2 linked regions of the Ovis aries genome follow. The protein of the gene in region 1 interacts with the protein of each later gene in a pairwise test. Links are inferred from orthologs where the notes say so. Each region holds a gene or a part of one and is shown on either strand. Other genes may lie near its edges.

What was found.
Region 2: the proteins of keratin-associated protein 10-12-like (region 1) and SPRY1 interact in binary tests that used the Homo sapiens proteins (3 or more experiments, as listed by UniProt). The two-hybrid records come from large-scale screens. The link is inferred for Ovis aries from reciprocal best matches to the Homo sapiens genes KRTAP10-7 and SPRY1.

Annotation. Positions count from the first base shown.
Region 1 is NC_056054.1:262,544,233-262,550,166, reverse strand, and holds keratin-associated protein 10-12-like, read right to left. Parts: upstream 4,376-5,934; 5' UTR 4,226-4,375; coding exon 3,326-4,225; 3' UTR 2,320-3,325; downstream 1-2,319. UniProt on the Homo sapiens protein: In the hair cortex, hair keratin intermediate filaments are embedded in an interfilamentous matrix, consisting of hair keratin-associated proteins (KRTAP), which are essential for the formation of a rigid and resistant hair shaft through their extensive disulfide bond cross-linking with abundant cysteine residues of hair keratins.
Region 2 is NC_056070.1:34,546,861-34,551,655, forward strand, and holds the end of SPRY1 (protein sprouty homolog 1), read right to left. Parts: intron 4,119-4,795; coding exon 3,104-4,118; 3' UTR 338-3,103; downstream 1-337. UniProt on the Homo sapiens protein: Inhibits fibroblast growth factor (FGF)-induced retinal lens fiber differentiation, probably by inhibiting FGF-mediated phosphorylation of ERK1/2. Inhibits TGFB-induced epithelial-to-mesenchymal transition in lens epithelial cells.

The DNA of each region.
Region 1 (5,934 bases):
TGGAGACACCGCTATCCGGTCAGGAACCCCACAGATGCCCTGCTCATCTCGACGGACAACTCTGGCTTTGGTGTGGGTTGTAGATTCTGCTTTCCAAGTGTGTCAGTGTAGCTGCACCTCACTTTTCTTGGGTTGAGGTGAAGTAAAACCTTCTCTATGTCTTCTTAACTCTCTGTGCAATGAAGAGTCCACCAAGGCCTTTGCCCGCTTATCTATGGAGATGGTTCTATTTTATTAAAATTGAAATGAACAGGTAAAGGGTACAGTTTAGTTCAGTTCAGTTGCTCAGTTGTGTCTGACTCTGCGACCCCATGGACTGCAGCACACCAGGCTTCTCTGTCCATCACCAACTCCTGGAGCTTACTCAACCTCATGTTTATTGAGTCAGTGATGACATTCAACCATCTTATCCTCTGTTGTCCCCTTCTCCTCTGTTGTCCCCTTCTCCTCCCGCCTTCAATCTTTCCCAGCAACAGAGTCTTTTCCAATGAGTCAGTTCTTTGCACCAGGTCTCCAAAGTATTGGAGTTTCAGCTTCAGCATCAGTCCTTCCAATGAATATTCAGGACTGATTTCCTTTAGGATGGACTGGTTGGATCTCCTTGAAGTCCAAGGGACACTCAAGAGTCTTCTCCAACACCACAGTTCAAAAGCATCAATTCTTCGGGGCTCAGCTCTTGTCACAGTCCAACTCTCACATCCATACACGACCACTGGAAAAACCATAGCCTTGATTAGATGGACCTTTGTTGGCAAAGTAATGTCTCTGTTTTTTAATATGTTATCTAGCTTAGTCATAACTTTCCTTCCAAGGAGTAAGCGACTTTTAATTTCATGGCTGCAATCACCATCTTCAGTGATTTCGGAGCCCAAAAACATAAAGTCTGACACTGTTTCCCCTGTTTCCCCATCTATTTCCCATGAAGTGATGGGACCAGATGCCATGATCTTCGTTTTCTGAATGTTGAGCTTTAGGCCAGCTTTTTCACTCTCCTCTTTCACTTTCATCAAGAGGCTCTTTCGTTCTTCACTTTCTGCCATAAGAGTGGTGTCATCTGCATATCTGAGGTTATTGATATTTCTCCTGGCAATCTTGATTCCAGCTTGTGCTTCATCCAGCCCGTCATTTTGCATGATGTACTCTGCATGTAAGTTAAATAAGCAGGGTGACAATATACAGCCTTGACACTCCTTTCCCTGTTTGGAACCAGTCTGTTGTTCCATGTCCAGTTCTAACTGTTGCTTCCTGACCTGCATACAGATTCCTCAGGAGGCAGGTCAGATGGTCTGGTATTGCCATCTCTTTAAGAATTTTCCAGAGTTTGTTGCAGACTACACAGTCAAAGGCTTTGGCATAGTCAATAAACAGAAGTAGATGTTTTTCTGGAACTCTCTTGCTTTTTTGATGATCCAGTGGATGTTGGCAATTTGAATTCTGGTTCCTCTGCCTTTTCTAAATCTAGTTTGAACATCTGGAAGTTCACAGTTCACGTATTGTTGAAGCTTGGCTTGGAGAATTTTGAGCATTATTTTGCTAGCATGTGAGATGAGTACAACTGTGTGGTAGTTTGACCATTCTTTGACATTGCTGTTTTGGGGATTGGCATGAAAACTGACCTTTTCCAGTCCTGTGGCCACTACTGAGTTTTCCAAATTTGCTGGCATATTGAGTGCAACACTTGAGGATTTGAAATAGCTCAGCTGGAATTCCATCACCTCCACTAGCTTTATTCATAGTGATGCTTCCTAAGGCCCACTTGACTTCACATTCCAGGATGTCTGGTTCTAGGTGAGTGATCACACCATCGTGGTTATCTGGGTCGTGAAGACCTTTTTTGCATAGTCCTTCTGTGTATTCTTGCCACCTCTTCTTAATATCTCCTGCTTCTGTTAGGTCCATACCATTTCTGTCCTTTATTGAGCCCATCTTTGCATGAAATGTTCCCTTAGTATCTCTAATTTTCTTGAAGAGACCTCTGGTCTTTCTCATTCTATTGTTTTCCTCTTTTTCTTTGCACTGATCACTGAGGAAGGCTTTCTTATCTCTCCTTTTATTCTTTGGAACTCTGCATCCAAATGGGTATATCTTTCCTTTTCTCCTTTGCCTTTGATCACTTGACAGTGATTAAGACCATCCCCAACCAAAAGAAATGCAAAAAGGCAAAAATGGTTATCTGAGGAGACTTTACAAATAGGTGAGAAAAGAAAAGAAGCTAAAGGCAAAGGAGAAAAATGGTACTTGTCTTGAGTAAACTCAGGAAAGAGATTTACGAGTTGAGGCAGGACACCTGTTTACCAGTCCTCTTAGGGTTTTGCTCCATTCCCTCTTTCCTGGATGGAACTGAGCTGGGGTGGGGATAGTATCCCCTGGGGAGATGCCTTCAGTTCCTGGTCCCTCTTGCCCCAGCCACCACTGTTCTCCTGCTCCTATGGGCCTCATCAGTCTGTTTCTGGTGGGGGATAAGTAGTTGACTGGTGCTGACTGGTGCCCACTTCCTCTATTGCTAATGTCCACTAAGACTGCAGGCTCTTTCTCCCCTACTGTCCTGAGGGTTTGTTCACAAGGCGTCTCTTTTGTTCTGTCCCTCCTCGGTCAGGCTTTGAAACCTTGAGTAGAATGAGTGATGTCTAAATTGACACTGCACCCCCTTGGAGCCCCCAGAATCTCCTCCTCAGTGTTGGCACGTCTCTCCAACAGCACTTACCCTGGACTCTCCGATCCAGACCCAGGAGGGTTTCTGCTGCTCCCCAAGTCACCCTCAACCTGCATGGGCAGGGGGAGGAACCCAGGGCCCACTCAGGATCTGAGCCTTCTGCACCCACACCCGCCTCCATGTCAGCCTTGAAGGGCCGTCCACTGCAGGGAGAGTGAGCCTGGGGTAGGAAGGGACATAGAATGTGTGAATGGCACCAGCTTTCAGATCCTGTTGTTTCTCAGCTGCTTTGAACTCGGATGGGAGAATGTGTCTTTACTGCCTGGCTTCTGCCAGCAGAGCACCTACAGGCCATATTTGGAGGGGCTGAGGGGGCCCAAGGGAGGAGGCCAAAACAGACATGGGTCCATATTTCCTGACACAAACGCTTTATTCATTAGAGCAGCTGATGTTTGTCATATGGGATTCAAGCAGCCTGTCCTGCAGAGGAGGCTCCTGGGGCCCCACAGTCCACCCTGTCAAGGGCTTTCTGAGATGCCTGCCAAGTTCGAATCCTCTCTGGGCAGCAGCTGCGTGTCCAACTTTGGGAGAGGGGAGGTCCTGGCGCCAGCAGAGGGGCTCCTGGAGCTTGGGAGAGAGACAGCAGCTTGTGGAGGGCGGGTGATTGGCCGGTCAGCAGCAGAGCTCCGGGGCTGAGGTGGGGATGCCGCAGGCCAGGCGGGAGCATGCAGGCCGGCAGAGCAGGGACACAGAGGAGGCTGGGCGGCAGCAGCTTGGCTGGCAGGAGGAGGTGGGCACACAGCAGGCGAGGCGGCACGCAGGGCGGCAGAGGAGGGACACAGAGGAGGCCGGGCGGCAGAAGCTGGGCTTGCAAGAGGAGGCGGGCACACAGCAGGTGGGGCCGCACACGGGGCGGCACACAGGACGGCAGAGGAGGGACACGGAAGAGGAGGGTCTGCAGCAGGATGAGGGGGCTGAGCAGGGGGAGGTCTCACAGCACACGGGCCTGCAGCAAACAGGTGTACAGCAGACAGGCCTGCAGCAGACGGGCTCACAGCAGGCCTGCTGGCAGCAGGAGGAGGTGCAGCAGGAGGGCTGGCAGCTGGACTGCTGGCAACATGAGGAGGTTGAGAAGGGGGAGGCCTCACAGCAGACAGGCCTGCAGCAGACAGGTGTGCAGCAGACAGGTGTACAGCAGACAGGCCTGCAGCAGACGGGCCTGCAGCAGACAGGCTCACAGCAGACAGGTTCACAGCAGGCCTGCTGGCAGCGGGAGGAGGTGCAGCAGGAGGACTGGCAGCTGGACTGCTGGCCACATGAGGCTGGGCAGGAGCTGCTGCAGGCTGGCTGGCAGCAGGGGCTGGACTCACAACTCACTGGGGCGCAGAGGAGGGTCAGGCGGGGGGCCGAGGTGCAGCAGCTGGGGGCACAGCAGGGGGGCTCGCAGCAGCTCTCTGGACAGTCATCCACCTGCCAGGAGGAGCCGGTGCAGGAGTCACAGGATCCAGGCAGGCAGATCCGGCTGCTGTAGCTCAGGTCGCTGGAGCAAGCAGACAGGTTAGAGAAGGCCATGGTGGAGGTGGTACGGCTGGAGGAGGTGTAAGTGTGTGTGAGTGTGTGAGTGAAGTGCTGAGGGTGTCTGCTTTTATACCCGCCCTGAGTATGCGCGTGGCCCTGGTCGGAGGCTCCCACGCTCTCCCTTCCTTGTTGCTGTTTGGAGCTGACCCTCATTAGGGCTGCTGTGTTTTCTACAATTAGCTTTTACTCATTAAACATGTGAGTACGTTGCAAGAGTCTGTTTTCCCATCTGTTCTTTGTTTGGCTCCAGAAAACTTGTGGAGGATGCAAGACGCAAGTTTCTGCTGAATGCCTGCCAGGGTTCTTAAGTCACGTTCACGGAGGGAGGGGCTGAGCGTGAGACAAGTTCCCAGCCACTGCAGCCGCTCCCACTTCACGCCAGCCTTGACAGTGTGAGAATACATAGGGAAAGATGCCTAGCTTTACCGCAGCCCAAACTATACCTAAGAGCATTACTAAGAAGATAAGTTGCGAGCGAAATAGAAAACTTGACCAAAGAACACACACAACATATATCCACTGGGACCCGAGAGGTGTAAGCAAGAAACTCAGAGCTATAGACTGAATTACCACTCTTTCTGGATCAATCCATCCCTGATGTAACTTCAATCAGAACCCAAAAGAAATATTTTTGGCATATAAAGTGAAGATATTGAACTGCTAGAAAATATTTGCAATGTAAAAGTTGAAAGCCTTTACAACTAAAGCAGGATATGATACAATAGAATCAAACACAAGCACACAGTCCATTCAAATTTCCAATCAACATTTGAAAAGCTACTGGATATCACTGATAATTAAAAGGCTCTAAATTAAAACACAAATATCCCACCTGCAAGATCAGCCAAGATTTACAACACTGGTAACACCCAGTGCTGCACAGTCTGAGGTCCTCACTCTTCTTTAAAAATTAGTTAACTTTTCGCTGAGCTGGGTCTTTGTTGCTACATGTAGGCTTTCCCTGGTTGTGGCAAACGGGGCTTACTTTTTGTTGCAGTGGGCAGGCTGCTCTTGGCAATGGCTTATCTTATTGAGGAGCACTGGCTTTAGGACATATGGGCTTTGGTAGTTGTGGCACGTGGGCTAGTCCCAGACCAGGGATTAAATTTATGTTCTTTGCATTGGCAAGTGGATTGTTAACCACTGGATCACCAGGGAAGCTCTAGGGGCCTCCCTGTTAGAAATCCTTAACAGGTACGTTTTTTTTTTTATTACATGTAACAAATAATATAAAATTAACCATTTTAAAGTGTTCGATTCAGGGACATTTAGTACAGTCACAACACTGTACAACTATGACCACTATCTAGTCCCGGGACATTCCCAAAAGGAAATCTTGTAGTATTGGGTAGACCCTCCCCAGTCCCTGTCAAGCACCGCTCTGCTTTCTGTCTCTATGACTTTGGCTGTTCTGCTCATTTCATGTAAAAGGAATCACACAATAGGTGGCCTTTTGTGTCTGACTCCAACTTGGCATACATGTGGCATACATGTGTGCTTGATCCTTTTTTATGACAGGATAACATTCCTCATAGAAATAGACAACATTTTATTTACCCATAAGTCGATGAACATTTGGGCCATTTATACCTCTTGGTTAAAAAATGCTTGCTCCTTGCAAGGGAAGCTATGACAAAGCTAGTGAAATGAAGTCACTCATTCGTGTCCAACTCTTCGCGACCCCATGGACTGTAGCCCACCAG
Region 2 (4,795 bases), on another chromosome or scaffold:
AAAACTTCTTTGAATGAAAAGAACAACACTCAGAAAACATGCTGGAAAGGAACTACTTAAAAAATATTCACTCTGTCAGGCTTTGGCAGTTGAGGAAGAGGGACAAAATTGAGGAAAAGGGAAAGGTTAATCTATCTGTGTGATATTTTTAACTTGGCAGTATCAAATAAATGGCAGGGGTATTATAAGAAATGTCAGCTGTGCTAATGCTTTCAAAGCCTTAGCACTTTAAAATGATCATCAGTATTCAGTTCAAACACATTGGACTCATGAGCACTGATGAAGACACATCCTAATATTTGTTTCTTCTAGGTTTAAACCATCACAAAGGAGGAAGTTTTGAATCAAAGTGTTTATTCTTTGTATCTGACAAGCATGTTAGAAGTCTGAACTCCTAACCTATTGCTATTTCCAAATATGAGCTTGACATTATGCCAGAGTGCATACAGAACCCTGGAAGCAGCAGACTGCCATCTTAATATTATAATTTTAATGTATTCCCCAGATAGTCAGAAGTTAAAACTCCACAACATACCTTATTCTCATAAAAGTTATAAATTTCTTTCAATAAAAGCCATAGCTTCTTAGTCTGGTTAGTTTAACTACAGACAGCTCTTACACCAATTCCTAATTATACGAAGGGTCTAAATAACAGAAAAAAGTTACACAGTATTTTGAAGGAGTCTATTCATGCTTCATTAAGGAGCCAAATCTCAATGAAATATTCAATATTCAGGGACCAGTGATATCACCACATAACTTGAATACAAGAGGAAACAAATTCACATTTTAAAATACCATAGATTATGAAATTTTAAAAAATGTTCCTGCTTTCAGAGCATAGAGAAAATACTTGATTAAGCCAAATGTCACAATGCTAACTAATAGGTTTAGTGGCTTGGTGGAAATGCATTAAAAGTTTCTATCATTTATGTCTCATTTAATTAAAACAAAATCAAAGTCTATAAATACAAAGGATAAATAATCCAAAACTAGTAGTCAAATCATGTAAGAGACAACAACCAAACAAAAAAGCTGGATAAGAGTTTTGACAGCCTAAATCCTGGATTCAAATTATGCCAACATCTTATTCTCAAATGCTGATTATTCAGGTTTGACACGTCACTTAGGCATACGGAGGAGTTAGTGAAATCAAGTCTGAGGATTCACGTGAACAAAATTTTATCAGACCCAAAGATTCTAACTATGTCCTGACTTCAGCAGGCTAAAAACTAAAAACATGTACTTTTTTAATATAAAGTTTCACACCCTCACATTTCTAATTCCATGAGACATGACACAATGTTATTTGATCAGGGCACATTAAAGACTTATTAAAGGAATGAAAAGGATTGGAATGTTTTTAAAACTTCTCTTTGATAATGTTAACTATCCCCTTGATGCACTCTTAAATTCTATAATGTTTTATTAAAATGACAGTGCCACAGACTCCTAGTATGGCTACAGAACTAATTTTTTAAGCTTTGCTGATGAAAATTAATTTCAGACTAATCCAAGAGTTAAGATAAACATTATTTAAAACATACAGGTATGTCCCATTCCAAGAAATTGATATACACAAAACCCCTTGCTTATAAAATAGCCAACGGAGGGATGGAATTGTTAATATTAATCACAGAAAAACTTTTTTCACTTTGTAAAGTGATTCACTTGGGCATTTGTTGAAACAGAATTTGGAATATAAAATCTTGATTAATGAATTTTCCAGGAAACATCTAGTTCAAGATTTGAGCTCACCTACATCTAGATTTGGTATATTAAGGGAAAGAAAGAAAATGGGTATGCATGAAGAGTCAAAGCAAATGACAAAAATCACAACAGTACACACTAATAAATGAAGAAATCAAGAGACAGTTTCATTAATTAATATATTTTCTGCATTATAGTTAACATACGTACTTTCTTCGTGTCACCTTATTTTCCGTTACGTATTGATATTTTGTTATATTCAGACATGAGTACATTTCAACAGTCTTTTGCAATAAATATCATAAAATAATAGAGATTCGCATAATAAATATTCTTTACAATAAAAAAGTTTAACAGACTTTTGTCTTAAAAATAGTCAGAATTCAACTTTGTGATTTATACATAAAATATACAAAAAGCACCACAATTTGTGGTTAAGGCAATGAAACAGAAAAGATTAGAACTACCCAGCTGTTAACTAACCAAGTGGCCAAAAACCATTAAGGAGCCAAGATCACTTCAGGCAGCATAGTTCCGTGACATCTATAGATTGATCAGATATAAATATCAACTTCAGTTATCCAAGTGCCGTCAATGACAAGAGTAATTTGGTGAAAAGCAAGGAGTATGGAAGGGAGGGAGTCGAGTCCTTCACAAATATGAAAGCTTGAATAAGGATGAGCAAGATACAACCAATATATCTCCAATGTGAAGACTTACATTGTAAAGCAGACCTAAAATTACACAGGAAAAAACAAAACAAAACAAAACAAAACAGAAAACCCTGGCATCTCTAAAAATGATAACGCCAAAACTGAGGGGATAGAAAGTTGAGAAGCAAGAAGGAGAGGGCAGTGGTTAAAGGAGAATCTTAACGTTGTAACAAAAACAGATCTCCCATGCTACTTAAGTGTCTAATGATATGAAGATAGCCCTAATTGGGGACAGATTTAATATATAGCTTATTTAAGCAATTAAATGGCTGCTTCTTTAAACACCAATTTCCCTGTTCCCAGAGTACCCAATCAAAAACAGCTCTAAATCACTGTAGCCTGGGTGTACATGTGTGGATATGTTCACGTGTACAACTTGGGAAAATTGCTTGCAGAACAAAAAGGCTACACAAAAGCCCACTGGCTCTCAATACCCTCTCAAGTGGATGGCAGAGGCTCTTGTCATAAGGGGGAGCCAGATGCATTTCACAGTCCACTCTTACTGAAGATCATCCATTAGAGAAGAGTACAATCCATGAGTCAAACCTTGGAAAGAAGGGGAAAAAGGTGGGACAGGGGAAAACTGCAAAGAAAATTAAACCAGTATCTGACAGCATCTTTTTTAACAGCCACAGCTTGAAAGCAAGAGAAGTTCAGGAGGTCCAACCCACCTCCAAAAATCATGATGGTTTACCCAGTCCCCGGGAGGGGCAGCTCTCCAGCTTACAATAGACAGTGTTGGAGTTCTTACATCTGCACCCTGGGCGATGGATCCAGTCATAACACCCCCTGCACAACTTCAGGCATCCCTTGGCTGGAGGATAACAAAGTAAGCAAGGTAAAAACAGAGACATGGCTCCCATACACAGGTACCTAGAGCAGCACTGTGACTGTGAACAGGAGCAAGGATTATCCGAGTAGGAATCCCCTTCATCGTCATTGGAGCAGTGGTAGAAGATGCCCTTGACCAAGCACATGCAGGTTCCGTACTCCACCATGCTCTCAGCGGAGCAAAGGCACTGCCGGTTACAGGCCAAGCAGGATGGCAGGGTCCTGGGAGCTGTGCATTCCCCACACTTGCACTTCCCACACTGTTCACAGATGAACTTGTGCTGCGTCAGGTCCTCTTTCAAGGAGCCCTTTAAGTCATCCACAATCAGTTGCTTGGGCTGGGTCCGGATTGCCCTTTCAGACCTGTGACCAGGGATGGGTCTGGCTGGCGGGGACCTTCCTAACAGCCCCTGCTCAGAAGAGGCACTGCTGTTGCTCCCAGAACTGGCTGCGCTTCCGGTGCTGGTTGACCTGCTCAGTATGGGGCCTCTGGCGTTATTTGAGAGTCCTGCATGTCCCAGGTGGCTGGTAGGTCTATGCTCATAGTTATTATTCACATTAATCGGTATGATTTCGTGAGTCCTCTCATGCTTTTCTTGTCTTGGTGCGGTTCGAGGAGCAGGTCTTTTCACCACAGATGGCCCTTCTGTGTATTCATTGCTGCCTCTGATGGCCTTGATCTGGTCTAAGGACAAAATAGCAGCAGGCTGAATCTCCCTCTCATAGTCTAGCCTCTGACGGTTATCCAATGCAGGCTGCTGGATCACAACTAATGAACTGCCACTGCCATGCTGATTTTGGGGATCCATGTGTAGTGATCTTGATTTCTGGCAATCAGTGGAAACCTGGCATGCATCTGAAATCCTAAAAGGAAATCAAAGATGAAAAAAAAAACCAAATAGAGAAAATAAATGACTAGAAGTATTTGGGGAGGTAGGGGGGGAAGAGGTGAGAAATCCTGTCAAGTCACAAATTGCCTAAACCACCTGGTAATGATCTCCCTCATCAGCGGATTACAATGATGCTGGGGTCCTGGACAGAGTCCAATTCCGAGACAGGCTTAGGACCACATCACAGAAGAATGTAAGCAAGAGACCCCATGCCATAAGAACTGAAAGTTTTTTCAACTTTTAAAAAGCAGAATCAAGAAGTAATGTCTTCCTGTTTGTGAATCTAACAAACAAAATGGAGTATGCCCTTGTGGGGAACACTGAGTATAAGCACTAATAAACCGCTCTCATCTAAAGAAGCTCTGTGTCAGTTCATGGGTACTTTCCATGAAAGAAAACATCCATTACAAAAAACAACAACAACAAACTAAGAATGGCTATGGTGCTGTTGTCTTTAATTATGCTTGCCGTTATAAGCATTCGATTAGTGTTCAGGAAATTAGTCAAGGTATACTTCATGCATTAAAAAAAAAAAAAAGACACTCCAAACTGAAATGGAATCTCAAATTAAGAGGTCATCTTCAGTAGAAACCAGAATTTTAAACCTAGTTCACTATTAGTCTACAAGATATAAAAGTGAATGCAGATGAA